4 linked regions of the Drosophila melanogaster genome follow. The protein of the gene in region 1 interacts with the protein of each later gene in a pairwise test. Each region holds a gene or a part of one and is shown in the gene's direction. Other genes may lie near its edges. The genes, in order: CG7272, Obp18a, CheB42b and CG11357.

Region 1 (4,977 bases):
ATTTGAGCGGGCATCGCGATGGAGTCTCCTGCTTCGGAAAGCATCCCAAGCAACTTTCCACCTTGGCCACCGGCGCCTATGACGGCGAAGTGCGCATTTGGGACTTGGCGAATCGTATCAGCTCTCGGAACTTTGTGGCCCACGACGGTTTCGTTCGCGGCATTGCTTACACCCAGAACGGAGGTCGCATTTTCACCGTGGGAGATGATAAAACCATCAAGGTTTGGAAAGCAGAGGCTCCGGAAGTCGGCGAGGATGAGGTGCCGGTGAACACTATACTGAGTAAATTTGGACTGCACGGCATCTCGCACAATCGCAGGGATAACAAGTTCGCCACCTGTGGCGAGGTATGCGCCATTTGGGACGAAAGGCACAACGATCCTTTGAAGACATTGAAGTGGGGCGTCGATACCCTTCACACCATATCCTATAACCCCGTGGAAACAAGCATCCTGGCGTGCTGTGCCAGCGATCGCAGCATTATCCTGTACGATCAGAGAGAGGCGCAGCCACTAAGGAAGGTCGTCCTAACCATGAAGAGCAACAAGCTCGCGTGGAATCCCATGGAGGCGTTCAACTTCACAGTGGCCAACGAGGATTGCAAGTGAGTAAAACGGCCATACGAAGAGGATGTGTTGCTAAAATCTTTATTTCTTACAGCCTTTATACCTTTGACACTCGCAAGCTGCAAACGCCGCTGAAGGTTCACTTTGACCATGTTTCCGCTGTCACCGATGTTGACTACTCGCCCACTGGCAAGGAATTCGTCTCGGCCAGCTACGACAAGACCATTCGGATCTACAATGCCCACCACAGTCACTCGCGGGATATTTACCACACAAAACGCATGCAGCATGTGGTCTGCGTGGCCTGGTCCCTCGATAATCGATACGTTTTCTCCGGCTCCGACGAAATGAACGTCCGCATGTGGAAGGCGAATGCCTCCGAAAAGCTGGGCGTCATCCGTCCACGTGAGCGCGTCAATTTCAATTACCAGGAGGCGCTGAAGCAAAAGTATGCCGCTCATCCGCAGATCAAGCGCATCGCGCGCCATCGCCAGGTGCCGCGTCACGTGCTCAATGCACAGAAGAAGATGCGCACGGTCAAGGAGAAGGAGCAGGTCAAGGAGGCCAATGTGCGCAAGCACACCAAGAAGAGCAAGAAGGTGCCCTACGTCAGCGAGAAAAAGAAGCATGTGCTGAAGGAGGAGGTGTGAGGATGATTGCTAACGACTGTAGTTGGATAAGTTTGAATAAAATTGATTTTTGTAAGGAGACTATGTATGTATATATTAAGAAGCCTAATCTCAATTGAGTTTCTCACTTTCTATCATTGTTCTCAAGTGACTTTCAGTTTGGTCAAGTCAAACCGAAGTTATCAGTGAATTTGCTTAGTTTAAACTATTGTTTGGCTTTAATTCAGTGATACTAGAAGAAAGAAGATGTTGATAAGTTCTAAGGAATACTCTCCTGTTGCTCTAGAGAGAAAACTCATTTGCTTTGCCATGCAGCAACGTTTCGCGGAAATTTGAAATTCAATTCGTATCCGATAAGCCCTCGCGGGCGATAACGTTTGGGGAAAATCGGAGAGACGCGTCCATTTCTAGGGGATTCTCGATTATAAAAGGTTGCCAGCCCCACCGTTGGTGCTCAGTATTTGTTCGTTTGTTGTTACGGCAGCCGCCAGTCGGTCGTTAGTTTTTGTTTTCGTTCATTTGTTTATACTCGCGCGGCACTCGGCCCCCCTCCCGTTCCCACATAACCCGTTTGAAAGGCATCAACTGAGAGTCATTGAAATCATGGAGGCACTGGGGGATCTCTTGGCGCCACACAGCGAACTAATCGCCAAGGTAGCCGGCACCATAACTACCCTGCAATTTCTGTCCGGAGTGGTTCTGATGAACGACATCCGCAAGAAGGGTAGCAGCGACGTCTACCCGGTGGGCCCATTTCTCTTCGGAGTGGTGCTGTAAGTAACCTAATTGGGATTCCGTGATGCTCCACTGCATGCGACATCGAAAAAAAAACTAGTGGGCAGGGGGCAGGAAAAGCGAGTGAAAAGAACAAAAGCCAACGCATCTGTGTGGGAATTGATTAAATTTTAGAACTGTCGCCATGACAGCACAGAATCGAGTCTCTTCAAGGCCGCCAGTGAATCGGTTTTGCACACAATTCAAGAAGATAACAATGGAATCGATTACATCACTGCGTTGGCCAAATGGGAATTACACTTCGATCATCCGCGACCGTTACATTTCGAAATCGTTAACCTTGTCGAAAATCCGCCAGCAGCACTTTTGCCGCCTTATCGATGCGAGAACCCTCCAAACACGTAGCTCTTATCTAGAGTGTATAATTTTAGAGCTCCTCTATTACGAATGCTGATCCGGTAGAGTCTGTCCAAATCTGGGAGAGCCGCTAATCGTTTATACGACGGGCGAAAGATACGCGACTCGCCCTCTCCACGTGCTCGGCATAAAGCGGGGCTGCCCAGATTCCAAAGGGGGTGGGCCACCCAGTGGTGGTGATGGGAATATCTTGTCATCTATAAATATAATCTTCTCTAATTATAGCCGTAAGGCTTGTCCATTACTGCATATGAATAATAGTGTTTGCTTAGCAAAACATAATATTTTTTTAACTATAGTTTCCGTAATAATACATTTCTTTAAACAATTCCAAATTCCTGCTGGCTAAAGCACTAAATGTAGATGAACTCTCGAGGAATTTACCTTTTTATTTTTAAATCGTAAACTTTCCACTGTTTGTTTTGAACATCTCAAAAGATCATAAAGTGCCATATGGCAGCAAGTGAATGAGTACCATCAAGTGAGTGTGCCATCACTGCGCCGGGGCTTACTTGGGGGTGGTTTTCCGGAAGGTGTTAACTTGGACTGTGTCAAGTGTAAGGACCCGCAGACATGCAAGCGAAGCAACAGTTGTATGCTAAACGAATTCCACTCCACCCAATGGGCGCTCGAGGTCTCGGTCAAGGGCAGGTTCCTCGGCCAGTTTGCATTTCATTTCGCCCAGCCCGGGTGTATTTCACCATTGTTGTGGGTTTGTTTATAGGTTGATCGATGATAATGCTGATTATTTGTTGAGCGTTGAGCTCCTTATCAAATGCTACGTGTACCATGATTTGCACGCCGGCCCTATTATGCTTATTTATCTATCTCCACCTAGTATAGAATCTGATAACGCAATTAATAAGTGTAAACTGGTTTTTTTTTTCAATGAAGTGGTAGACTGGAGCACTTTAAATGAAAACTAGTTCCATTTCTCTTGATTCGAACTTTCTGTAGCGACTTACTGCTGGAAAACTGGTTCGGGCAGGGTCAATTAATTTGAATTAATTATAATATCCTCAGAAAACTATGCTCTTATCTACAAGTTAACTGGAATTTATAAAATTTCCAGCCTTATATTGAAGAATATTTTAAAATGAATATGAATGGTAACAGTATTACATTTTTGTTTAAATATAAAAACCAAATTTTGTCCTAAATTAAAGTAACTAATTAACAAATTGTTGAACTTTCTAGGACCGTTCTCAGCTTGAAGCTGGCCAACATTATGAATGATGCTGCCATGATCAATACGAATTTAATCGGCCTGGTGATAAACTTCGTCTTCCTCTTCGGATTTTACTACTACGCCTCGAGCGCCAGCAGGAGCAAGATCTGGAAGCAGATTGGCTATTCCTCGGTGTTCCTATTGGCCATCACCGCGTATGCCAACTTCGAGGATCCCGCCAAGATTGAGTTCCGCCTGGGAATGCTGATCACCGGCATCCTGGTTTGGATGGTGGGCTCTCCCCTGCTGCATCTGCCGAAAATCATTGAGAAGAAGAGCACCGAGGGAATGCCGTTCCCGATTATCTTTGCCGGTAATCTGGTGGCATTTTCCTGGACGCTGTATGCCATCTCCATCAAGAATACTGTGATGGTGGTAAGTTAGCAATTAATTCTATTAAACGAGAATGTAAATTTGAACCGAAAATTCTTCTATTTCAGCTGCAGAACCTTTTGCTGCTGGTCCTGGGCGGCATTCAGCTCTCCATGTTCGCTATTTATCCCAACAAACCGGCTGCCGAGAAGCCCAAGGACAGCAAGAAGGACAAATAATTGAAATCGAACGCTTTACCTAGAAAAAAGGACAAATAATGGGTTGTTGCAACAACATTACCAAGTAATAAGTAGCTAGGCTTTGAGGAATAATCAAATTATTGCTTGAATTTACACTAAACCGCCACAAGAAAACTAAATTTGAGCTAAACGAATTATTTTTCTATATAGGAAATATTTTCTTAGAACAAATCCAGCTAACTAAGTTGCTAGCTAACCTAGAATTGTTATTATATTGACTATTATTGTATATAACTACTACATACTTGCAATTTTTGACAATAATTCAAATCTTCCAAATGCATACGTATTTATAAAGTCAACATAATATGTAATAAAACAATCTGTTACAAAATCGAGTGAGTTGATGGTAAATGCCATTGGGCATTTCCCGTTTAGGCTGCTGGCACCGTGGAATTGTAGTGGGCACCCAATTGGTATATGTGGCGGTGGTAGCAGATGATCAGCGGTGATCCACCGAATTCCTCTTGCCCCAGGAGCGTCGGTGCTCCTTCCGCTTGGATAACTTCAATGGGCACCCGGAGTAGCGATGAGATGGCCTTCAGTTCTATGTGGCCACCCCAAGCGTGAGTTTTTGCTATGTCGTGGCAGTATTGTTCGAATTGTTGGTCGTTCAGAATGTCTCCTGTTTCCGGGTGGATCATGTATGAGATAAGCGAGTCCTTGTGAGCACGCACATAATTGGCAGTTTCCTCCCGCAACTCCTGAACACTGTGACCTTTGGTGCAATTATTATGGATTAGTTTTGGTGCTGTGTGGACTGAATCGTGAAGCATTACCTGGAAGAGCATTTACGATAAGTTGGTGTCTGATGGACTGATATAAGCAGT
Region 2 (3,197 bases), on another chromosome or scaffold:
ATATTTCTTACAATTTTTCTTATCTATATATATTTTATATTTACTTTATATTTATATATATTTATTATTATATTCTGCTGTTGATGATGCTCATCAGGTGTCAGCTGGGCGTCGCCGGGGGTGGCACGCTGACACTCCCTCGCTGCTGTCTATTTCTTCGCCGCTGAAGACGTCGATGGTCGCTCACAAGTCCCCAGGCAGTGGGGACTCCAGATTCCTTCGCAGCCAGGGGGGCAGGACTTCTTTGGTTTTGTTAATGCTGGTGCTGGTGCTGGACATGCCTGGTATTTTGGAACTTCATTAATTGTGGGTATATTTTTAATATTATCTGAGTGAGTTTTCTCGAGCTTATGGGTCTTTAATTCTTGCTGATATTGCAACAAGTGGTCTAGCTCTGCATGTAGCTTTAGAGCTTTCGACCAAACCGGTGGCGTTTGCTGACCGTATATTAGCCACCTTACGTGGGCTATACGTTTATTCAGCTTAGTTTTCAAACCGCCACGGTGTTTGCCCATACTCAATAGAACTCTACTCACTCAGATTTTTCCTTGGTTTTTGCAGTTCCATTTAATTAGTCCAGTCTTCTTCCAGTCCAGTGTTCCTTTGTTCCTTTGTTTTCACCAGCTTTGGTCAATTCGTCCAGCGTTGGACGACTGTCACGGTCGCCATGTAATGATGAACTCCAATTCAGAACACAAGTCCGTTTTAAGTTGAAGGCAGCCGTCGGGCTGACATATATTTATTCAATTTCTTCTTTTGATTTTAGAGTAGGCAGAAATGGTTCTGTCAGCTCAACGTCTACAGAGTCTCTCTGATTTTACAGTTTTTAATATATTTGGACTTAGGCTAATCCGCGTAGCTGCGCTGCCGGGTACGCCAGCAGCGGAGCGGCGTTCTTATGTATATCTTATATATCTAGGCTTATCGGGAGAGCGAGATATGTATGTACGTATGTAATATGTATTTGGTCGGCGTGTGAATGCTGACCATGCACTTATACTTTTTGCCTTCGAGTGGGTGATCATGTTACATCCGCCCTGGCCTAACTGCGTGCATAAACATAAACATAAACATAGCAACAAAGTGCTGCCATAAGTTAATATGCTATTTTATTTAATTGTTCTTAATATTGCATAGGCACATACTACAGTTTAACATAAGAATACTTTTTTTTTTTGTTGTCAGCTTTAAATGTACGTGTTTTATTGCTAATTTTAATGTTCTAATTACTTTATTTATTCATTGGAAATGGGAATTCGCATAGACGAGCCCATCACGAAAATACTTACCAAAAAAGACAGTAGACTAAGTTTATACTAAAGATAATTAGGGGAAACCGCAAGAAAACAAAGAAAAAAAAAATGCAAAACGATAAACATTGTGGCGGTACAGTGAGCACTGCCTGCGGCCAACCTAAAAACATGACGAAATATTTTTTTTTTTTTTACATCGTGTATAAGATGTGATATTCGCTGCAAATCGCAAAGCGTGAATATAATTTGTATTTATACCTATATTAATGAACCATATAAAATATACGAATAAAGTCCAATACAGTAGATAGGCTACACATATGTTTTTTGTTTAAACTTCAGAGATGCTTGGAGTGTAAAAGCCAAAAATTGTATGTTTTCTATCTTAATAAATATGAAGAAAACCAAGTTGGTAATTTACTATTGGCAATTGTAATGCAGATATTGCGCATACGACATACGTGTAGCTCATAATCGGGAACTGCGCTTAAAATTTCAATTATAGACTTTATTTGTTGGTGTGTGGCGAATGTAAAGTAGCATCCAATTATTTAATTAAAATCTCCTGTCTACTTTTGAGCTGAATTAGCAAATCGATGGGTTATATATATAGAGCTGTGATGATGCGCTCATTGTTAGTTGGGAAACAGATTTTCGCCATGAAGGTTGTGTGCAGCATAGCTGTACTATGGATTTGCTTGATAACTATGGTCAGTTCTTAACGAAATAGTTATGTGTCCATCTAACAATACCATCTATTCTAGTGGCAATCAGCTGGCCGCGTTAACGCAGAGGGTTGCCTAAAGCACCACAATCTGACCAGTGCCCAAGTGCAGGCAGTGGCTCCATCCACTCCCGTTGCGGATGTTCCAGTGGCCGTTAAGTGCTATAGCCGGTGTCTGATCCAGGATTATTTCGGTGATGATGGGAAAATCGATCTGCAGAAGGTGGGAAAGCGAGGATCTCAAGAGGACCACGTGATTTTGTCCCAGTGTAAGCAGCAGTTCGATGGCGTCACCAATCTGGACACGTGCGACTATCCATACCTGATTCTCCAGTGTTATTTTAAGGGCAAGCAGAGTGGAACTATCGCCTCGTAATTTACCAAATAAACAAAAAATAAAGTATACATATATACATTACTACATACATATATGTACACACACATGACAGACACAATGGGCTTCATCACAGTTCATTGTTGAGTCTTCTAATCAGATCAAACGCCCTCTAATGGAAATTACACACGATTGTGCTTAGTATAAGTGTGATTTTCATTATTATTATTTGTATACAGTGATTAATAATTGTATTAGAGCAAAATAGTAGACATGCATTGTTTTAAACTCGTCTGCTTTTTATTGATTTGTTTTATGCAAAGTAACGTAGAACTGGTGGAAATACATAATGCAATAATAAGTCAATCAGAGTCTTTATTTTCCGAAAATTCGCAAGAAACATGGCCAAATAAATAACAGAAAATTTCAGTTTGCTGACCAAATATGTATGTATGCATGTACATATGTACATATATGGGTGGACTGGGAAGCCAAACACAAAATTTTCCCCCTGCTTGAATAATATTTGAAATGGCAGATATGGAAGATGCAATTTGAACATAATTGAAATGCAAATCGCAGACTGTGAACTGCAGAACCGACTTGATGGGGCGGATGTGTGGACGTAATAATGAATCCCAGTCGACCCCACAGGATGCAGGGCAAATTTCAATTTTCCCAGCAAATCATACGTAAAGTTTGGCCAAATACATTTTGGGCCAAGAGGGCCAAAAAGGGCCAGAAGGATGTCAATGCAATCAGTGAGGCATTTGACTTGGCCTTTCATTAACTCGACTCAGCGCAGTCGAGTGCAAAGGACACAGTACATAGTACACAGGACGAAAGACGCAGGACGCAGGACGCAGGACATGGCACACGAACTCCT
Region 3 (3,267 bases), on another chromosome or scaffold:
AAAAATTTAATTTAATCAAGGAGCCTACAAAGATTTTAGCATTGAATTCAAGAAGAACAAAAGGTTATACTTTTACAAGTATAACAATCTAAATGCCTATTTGGCATACAAGTTGTTATGCTAATGGCTAAAACCTTTAGTATTTAGCTTATATATCTTAATAAATATAAGATTAACAGGAATGATTGTTTTGATCGTTTAATAAGGACTATTTTCATTGGCACTGATTTCCTCGAAACTTGTTATGGTTGAAGTGAGCTTCTTGCTTTAAATGTCGATTTAAAATAATGTCTGGCAAACAAAATGGTTGTAACTTTGTTGCATGTCGAGTGGATACATGATGACATGATAGCAATGATAGAAGAGATCATGATGGCAAGTACTATAAAAGGGTCTCATCCCACCAGGTGATACTATTGTCATCATGAGAACTCTCATGCTGTTCGTATTTGGCTTTGCTAGTTCCTGGGCCGCAGACTACGAGCTGTTGCTGGAGGACCCTGATATCTTTTCACCCTGCACTGAACCGCCGCCGGGATCGATTGGATTCCACGATGCCTTCGATATTGGCGATCTGGTAGTCGACCAGGACATGGACATCATTCACCTGTCCGAGAGTGTCACCTCAATCTGGGATGTGGAGCCCACAGATCGCATATCCGTAATGCCCGCATTCCTTATACGAAATAAGATTATTAATAAACAATTGCTTTTAAGGCCAGGTTTGCAATAATGCATTACAACCGCGGCAGCTGGGAACCGACTGTATTTAGCATGGCCACGCCGGACTTCTGCGCCTCAATGTTTGATGAGAATCAGTCGTGGTTTAAGTACTGGACCAAACACATTTCGAACCGCGATGAGGTGATGGAGAAGTGTTTTAAAACGCGTGGTGTGAGTTTTCCCTGCAAACAAAACAGTCCATCTCTGGCGCGGTGACTTTAACCTTGGGATTCCATTACAGACCGTTATAATGCACAATCCATTCGATCTGCAGCTGCGTCTAACGGACATTCGTGGTGCAACTCTCAGGGGTCGTTACAAAGCTGTGGTCACCTTTGAGGCGGTCGATGAGAAGGATGTGCCACGCCGTAATTCCATTTGCTTCGAAATCAGGGGAGAGGCCGAGAAGATAAATTAATTAAGGGCTTAATCTGTTCAAGGCGCGATATCAGTAACCTAAAAAACAATATAAACCCAATATCTACATATTTTGAAAATAAAAAGCAATCTTAAAAATATAAATATAAATAAAATATATCAACTATTCTGAACTTGATATATGTACTTGATTTGGTACAAAGTGTGTAACAGGTGACGCGAACCTTTTTTTTCGTTTGATCAACCTTATGCCCGTATGTGATCTCGGGAGCTATAAAAGCTATATTGATAAGATAAGGGATGCAGATTATAGAGAAGTACTTTCAGAAGATTGCCACGCCTACTCTACCACACCCTCTAACGACCAAAAACCGCCCAAAACTGTCACGCCCACACGGATATGTGATCGCCAAGAAAATCTTTGGGGAATTTGTTTTTTGTTTCAAACTTGTTTTTTTTTCTAGCCCAAAAGTTATTATTATTAAAACATCTTGTTTTACAATGTTTAAGCACGAATATTTTCAAGGGTCACATAACGTGATTTGCCAATTATATTGTTAGAGTTTGACAACGTCTGATTAACAGGAGATGGTTGTTACATTGTTGCGTGTTGAATCAATGTACGATGGCATACCATGATTAGATGTCATCATTTTAAAAGGTGTATAAATAAAACATATCAAAAACTCTATTGTGGCAGTGGCTATAAAGGGGTCGGATCTCACAGTTTTCGGTTCTATGGTCATCATGATATTTGTGCTGCTACTCTTATTAGGAGTGACCAGTTCCTGGGCCACAGACTATGAATTATTGCTCGAGGATCCGGACATATTTTCGACGTGCACTGATGGTCCTCCCGGATCCATCAACATCCGCCAGGCACTCAACTTAGACGACATTGTAATCGACCAGAAAGGGGATATACTTCATGTATCCGGGAACGCCACCGTCGTGTGGGATGTGCAGCCCACCGATCGGATTACTGTAACACAAACTGCAAGCTTCGGAATAATCATCGATTCTAATATCAAAACTCTTGCATCCGTGTAGGCGAGACTTGATGTTTTTCACTTCAACCGCGGCACTTGGGAGCCCACTGTCTTTAGCATGGCCACCCAGAACTTTTGCTCCATCATGTACGACAAGAACCAGTATTGGTATAAGTATTGGACAAGGTTTATAACCAATCGCCATGAGGTGGAAAAGAAGTGCTTCAGAGGGCCTGATGTAAGTGGAGTTCAAGCAATTTGACAACCAAATACGGTGGAATATAATAGCATATGGGAATAGTTCTCATATGGGATGCAGATTATTCATATGGTTGTGTGCAAAGGACACTACCATTTTTTATTGCACAATATTTTGAAAATATTCTGATTTCTTACAGACCGTTCTGGTACACGAGCCCTTCGATCTCATACTAAAATTTGAGAATTTTCGTGGACCTCTTCTTAGAGGACGTCATAAACTTGTCATATTGTTTAACGCACTAGATGAGAGGAATATACCGCGCCCAAACCCAATTTGTTTGGAGATCATAGGAGAACCACTAAAGTTGCAGTAGTTGGAACAATAGACTATTTTGTTGAATGTGTATTTTTTTTTTCAATATTGTATAATATTAAACATAGTGTTCTTAATTCCTACATTCAATAACAATTTAAACATTGCATCGTGTTTTAACAGATCTCATAACTTTAGGGGCTTGTTTTACCTTCCATATCCCCAATCAGTTAACTTCTTGATTCGTTTTGTTTTGTGGTTGGTGGCACGCGTTGACGGCAACTTGAGTTCAAGTTGCGGTTTCCATATCGGCTAGCTGCGTGTGGCAAGTACCTTCTCGGGTAACGACGTGCAGACAAAGGAGAACCGTATACTGACTGCATTTTTTTGGGGTCATGACTGCCGTTGCTGGATGGGGAATATGCAAATACAATTGTCGGTTATTGGATTACCCGATGATGATTGGCATAAGTTCCGATCGATTCAAATCGCAGCAATCGATTTGTCAATTTGCAAAGCTCTTGCCAATTCACGGAAAATGTTTCTTACAGATTTGCGAAAACTTTTAAACGGCAGGGAGGTAAGCCTCGGAACACTTTCATTTCATATTCCCGGCGAATAATTTTCTACTTTCTAAACCGAAGAGCCAGAAACAAAGACCGT
Region 4 (4,992 bases), about 11 Mb from region 1:
GATCATTATTATTATTATTCATCAGCGATTCAAGGCGTGAATTGTACAGATTATTCGTAAATAATACTAAGGAATCGGATAGACCAGCCACATCACCAGATTGTGTAGAACTATGAGGATTCTACATGAAAGACAAACAATTTAAACAAATTCGAATGTATGTTAATGAAATATGAAGTTTATACCAAAATCGACGAAAGCATCTTTTCACTGGCGCAGAAGTCGAAAACCTCTTCAGGATAAACCAGAAATGGAACTGAATGTATGATGATTTTTCTAAGTTTATTAGTCACACTGGATGCTTTTTTCAACGATTCGGGTGTTATTGGTATATCTTTCTTATTTGGGTGCCATATCTGAGTGGTAGTATACGTTTTTAGCTCAACGCGACCATCGGTTTGCTTGTAAACTCCAAGATACGGGGTGACCATTAGACCTGCGGCAAACCCCGTATGGGTCACAAATCGGTTCCAGGAATCAGACATTGAGTACTGTGACACATATGACATGCAACAGTCAATGTTGCTGGAATGTCCAGTTTCATCTTGTACAAATAAAAAAATATAATACATTTCTCGATTTACTTATAACTATCGAGCTTACCCACGCATCGTCGGCATCGAAACACCGGATACAGGCGCCAGGATCTACTTTCTTCGGCCAGCTTGGGATCATATACATTATTGACAACCATCACAAAAAATAAAGACGTGAGTGACTGCCCTTTGGAGTATTTTCCTGATATGAGAAAGTAGATAACATAATGACGCTTATTTGGAATATATTATTAATTTTACTATAACTATAACTCACTATAACTCCAGATCGCATGAAACATGTTAGAATCGAAATTCAGCAGAGACAGCTTTGCCTTCAATATGTTTTCTTGACCCGACGATATTCTGCAAACCTTGAGCTTTATAATTTGCAATTTTTTCGGATGAATCCTACTTACAGATCCCAGGTTATATCGTTGCCATGGCCCAGGATGTCGGCAAACTTTTGCTGCACTTCTCTGACTGTGGGAACTAAGTTTCCGTCCCCTTTTGGAGCACTCATTTTTGCAAACTTTTATTCCTGCTTATTTCTAGAACTTCTTCTGTTGCACGTAGAAGATGGAAGTTGCAACAAAAGGCGGCTATCGATAGTCAGTGCTGACGAACTGTCACTATCTAAGTAATATGATGTATTTACCAGTCATATTAGGGATATTTGTAATTTAAATAAACATTAAATAAAACACTTATCAAAATGTATATCTCTTAATGTTTATGATCACCCCAATATTGTTTACATTCGACTGTTTGTAAATAATTAGGTTTCATAAAAGGCATTATTACTCAACGAATTAAATATTATTCTAATTTTTGTTATTAAGTAATTAAGTAATTACAAAATTTAGTTGGCTGATAACGATATTAGTGCAATTTAAAAAGTTAAAATCTTAATGTTAAGTTAAAATAGGTTTCCTATCGGTTGAATCAATTATCATTGCGTTTCTTCGTAATTTACAACTTACGAATGGCGACTGAGCCGATGCACTTTAATCGATAGCAATTTTGGCAGATGGATCTTGAAAATCTAGGCAAGCTAGATGAGAAAGCGATAGAAATGGTCACCCCAAATTTTAAACGCGTGTCGATGCTTGAGTTCCATCCCTATCTCCCGCTTTCAGTTAACATTCCAGTGGTGTATATAAAATCTTATGCCTGGGGTTTTTGAAATTTATACTTAAATAATATATATTAATACTGAACATGTTAATATTTTTAAATGTGTTTTGATACAAATATTGTTAAAAACTAGATTTCTTTAACTCTGAATATTCAAAAAGTTTTATGAAGCCAACTCCCCTTAACAGCCCTTCTTTACAACTAACAACAACGCCTCTGTTAAATATAACAGTGAATTTCGCCGCTTTAACAGCAACTGAGAGCGGCTAACAGTGCGAGAGAAATTCGAACGGGGCAGCAACAAAAAAGAAGAAAAAGACTGGTAATAACGCTACGCTTCTCAGTTACTCAGTTCCGAACGGGCAAAAAACAATTTAGCGCCCTCTGAAACGCTCTGTGTTTTATTTTCCACTTAAAATATTAAAAAAGTGCATAAAAATTGCACACGTCGCTGATAACTCGCTCGGTATACTTATTCTCTAAAATACTGTCTTTCAAATCAGTTGGAAAATATGACATGATAATAAGTGAACAATAGCCGCGCCGAGAATTTTTCGACGAGTGACGGCGGTTATTCCGTTTTTTATTCAGTTTTTCTTAAAAAACCCAAGCGCATAAACAATTAAAGTCGGACAACACCATCGTTAAATGAATTAAAAGTGAATAAAAGCGCTGTCAACGCCTTTTTGGGCAGCGAAAAAAGGAAAGAGAAATCCAGGCCCAGCATCCTTCAGCCTGCTTCTTCTTCTTCCTCTTCATCTCCTTTTGCATTTCTTTTCGCCGCGTCTGTATAGGTGTTCGTGTTGGTGTGGTTGTGTGCAAGCTTGAAAATTGTGTTAAGTTAAGTAAATTTATTCCAGCTGCCAACAACAAATTGATGCCAAAAATCTATACAAATTAAGTGCTGCGTGCGCGTGTGTGTTGAATTAGCACTCCCAATTGGTGTCTCTTTCGCTCTAACTCTGTTTTTGAACTGTTACCCAAAGCGATGGGTGTGTGTAAGTGTGCGTGAGTGCTTCACATGGAAATTAATTAAAAACGCACATTTGTTGCCATTTCCCTCGCTCTCCCGCAAGGATTCGACTGACTGGCTAATGAGGAAGCAGCCAGGCGAACAACCAGCAGGTGACTATTAATACATAAAAAAAAGCATAAAATGTATGAAATTAATTATGCGAGTGCTTGGATACTATCTCTCCAGATTTCGAGGGGTTTTGTCTTTTACTTTTGCTTATCAGCATCCATTGAACAGTATCCTATTGTTGTCATTGTTGCTGCGGGGAGGGACACTTGCTCTCTCGCTCACTCTCTTTCATGTGTGGGTAGCGTTTTTTTTTTTTGTTTTTTATATACGCATCTATCTCTTCTTTCGCTCTTTTCTTCGCCTTTAAGAGGCGTTGTTGTTGTGTGCTCTTCTTTTGTGCTTTTTTCCAACATGAATTTTCTTCGCTTTTTGTTAGCACGTCGCTGTCGCTGAGGACTGACCTTGAACAAGTTCAGGCACAGTGGCACGCATGCCTGTTTGTTGTCCTCCGTTTTGGCTCGTCTGCTCCTTTTCGCCTTTTTCAACTCGTTGTCCTTGGCCTGTCCCACTGTGCCGCCTCGCTCCGTCTCCCTCTTCCTATCTTTCTGTGCGCCTCGCTCCCGTCTGAATGTTTGCCCAAGACTGCGAGAGTGTTTACCTCATCACTTAGGTACAGTGGAAATCTCACTAGTTCCGATACACCGCTTATCAATAAAAAATAACCCATTTCTATATCAATTTTTCCTGATATCAATCAAGTCATATGTATTCAACTTATTACATATTCAATAGATTTGTTATCTGAAGAAGAAGTCGCTAAGAAGACCGTGTTCGAGTCCCACTAAGATAGCACCATATCTCTAAGGGCGATATTTTGGATCTAAATCGATTTTTGTGTGATTTTCGCTAATAGACATTTAACACGTGTACTTTAAATTAATGTTTAATTTATTGAGCACTATGGCTTATAAGGAATTACAATCATTCCGTTCAGTTTAAAGTTCATTGTTTGCATTGGCGCTTCAAATTTTCAATCACATGCTCGTTGGCGAAGCTCTGATTTTTAATTGCGCCAGCTTCCGCGAGAAGCTCTCGCTCTCTCTTTTTCCCACATTCATCTCCCCTCGATCGGCCGTCTCTGTCGAATGGGCTTTAACGCTTTTTTCAGTGGCGCAAAATAACGTTGTATACGCTTTGCTTGACTGTTTGTTTGCCTATCAGCTGCTGTCACCGCTTTTCACCCGTTTGCGCCTTCTGGCCCACTGATAACCGGCGGTGCGAGGCGTTAGACGTCGGCGGTGTTACTTTTATTGGTCCGTACAGTGACCCCGAGATTCTCCGCCGACGTAACGTCACGTCAACGTTTTCAGCTTTTTGCTTTCTCTTTTACTCCCCCTTGCCGCGCCGAAATTTTCGACACGTACGAACTGCTATTCATTATTAATACCCGAATTTCGAGCGATTTGCGATCCTAAACAGTACGTTTATGAAATAACATCCTTATGTCTCACAACTTAATCTTTCAACTGTTTTCTACTTCCTTTTGGGTTTCTCCACTCGACTTATTCATGCTTTTCTAAGATATGCGAAAAGTAATCTGCATGTAGCAAGTTTCACAGAATTTTGTGTATAAGCACACCAATCTTAATAATTTTAAGAAAATTGTATTTTGGTCTTTATCAATGTGCTAGTATCAGCTAGAATATAATACTCTAATACTCGAACATAATAATTCATTCCGTTTCATCATGTGATCCCCTCATGTGAGACTTTCAAATTCAATGCTTCAAATAAATATAATGTTTATCAGATAATTGTTTTTTTTTTTTGAAACCAGCGGAACATCGAGAGAATAACACTTATTTCCATTGTGAATTTGTTTAGATAAGGCATACCAAAATACTTTAAAAGTTTATGTTCGTATAATGCAAATTGTTCTTTTATTTTAAACAAATACATACACGTGCCTCTCTTCTCACACACGCATTTGCTGATGTGGATACATTCTATAAATATTGCAAGTATTTGGAATTTCTTGATTGCGCGCGTAAATGGATAGAAACCAGACATCCACGAAATTTGTGCACTGCAGGAGAACTTTAATTTATTACTGGATTTCTTACTTACTGGATCATCGTGTGATTTCTTTAATTTACATGCGAGCGATTCCGAGCGTTGCAAGAACAGCAAAAAATGGCCATGATCATGTTTGTCTAGTTCGTTTTAATTTTTATCAGCAAAAAATTTAATTGAGTGCAAATCGCGAGCCGAACCGAGCAAGTTTCCAGAAATGTG

What was found.
Region 2: the proteins of CG7272 (region 1) and Obp18a interact in a two-hybrid assay, tested with the Drosophila melanogaster proteins (one large-scale study listed by BioGRID).
Region 3: the proteins of CG7272 (region 1) and CheB42b interact in a two-hybrid assay, tested with the Drosophila melanogaster proteins (one large-scale study listed by BioGRID).
Region 4: the proteins of CG7272 (region 1) and CG11357 interact in a two-hybrid assay, tested with the Drosophila melanogaster proteins (one large-scale study listed by BioGRID).

The regions. Positions count from the first base shown.
Region 1 is NT_037436.4:15,499,293-15,504,269, forward strand, and holds CG7272 (uncharacterized protein), read left to right. Parts: upstream 1-1,645; 5' UTR 1,646-1,798; coding exon 1,799-1,968; intron 1,969-3,544; coding exon 3,545-3,950; intron 3,951-4,015; coding exon 4,016-4,126; 3' UTR 4,127-4,477; downstream 4,478-4,977. Other genes in the region: CG7275 (uncharacterized protein), read left to right, coding at 1-604, 661-1,216; CG7857 (uncharacterized protein), read right to left, coding at 4,522-4,865, 4,927-4,977.
Region 2 is NC_004354.4:19,134,559-19,137,755, reverse strand, and holds Obp18a (Odorant-binding protein 18a), read left to right. Parts: upstream 1-1,887; 5' UTR 1,888-1,912; coding exon 1,913-1,963; intron 1,964-2,017; coding exon 2,018-2,353; 3' UTR 2,354-2,675; downstream 2,676-3,197.
Region 3 is NT_033778.4:6,942,568-6,945,834, reverse strand, and holds CheB42b (chemosensory protein B 42b), read left to right. Parts: upstream 1-1,839; 5' UTR 1,840-1,848; coding exon 1,849-2,085; intron 2,086-2,151; coding exon 2,152-2,328; intron 2,329-2,488; coding exon 2,489-2,665; 3' UTR 2,666-2,739; downstream 2,740-3,267. Other genes in the region: CheB42c (chemosensory protein B 42c), read left to right, coding at 425-661, 718-894, 965-1,141.
Region 4 is NT_037436.4:4,540,110-4,545,101, forward strand, and holds the start of CG11357 (uncharacterized protein), read left to right. Parts: upstream 1-1,941; 5' UTR 1,942-1,995; intron 1,996-2,010; exon of another isoform or gene 2,011-2,533; 5' UTR 2,534-2,798; intron 2,799-4,992. Other genes in the region: CG32243 (uncharacterized protein), read right to left, coding at 1-121, 186-544, 604-738, 814-902, 956-1,059.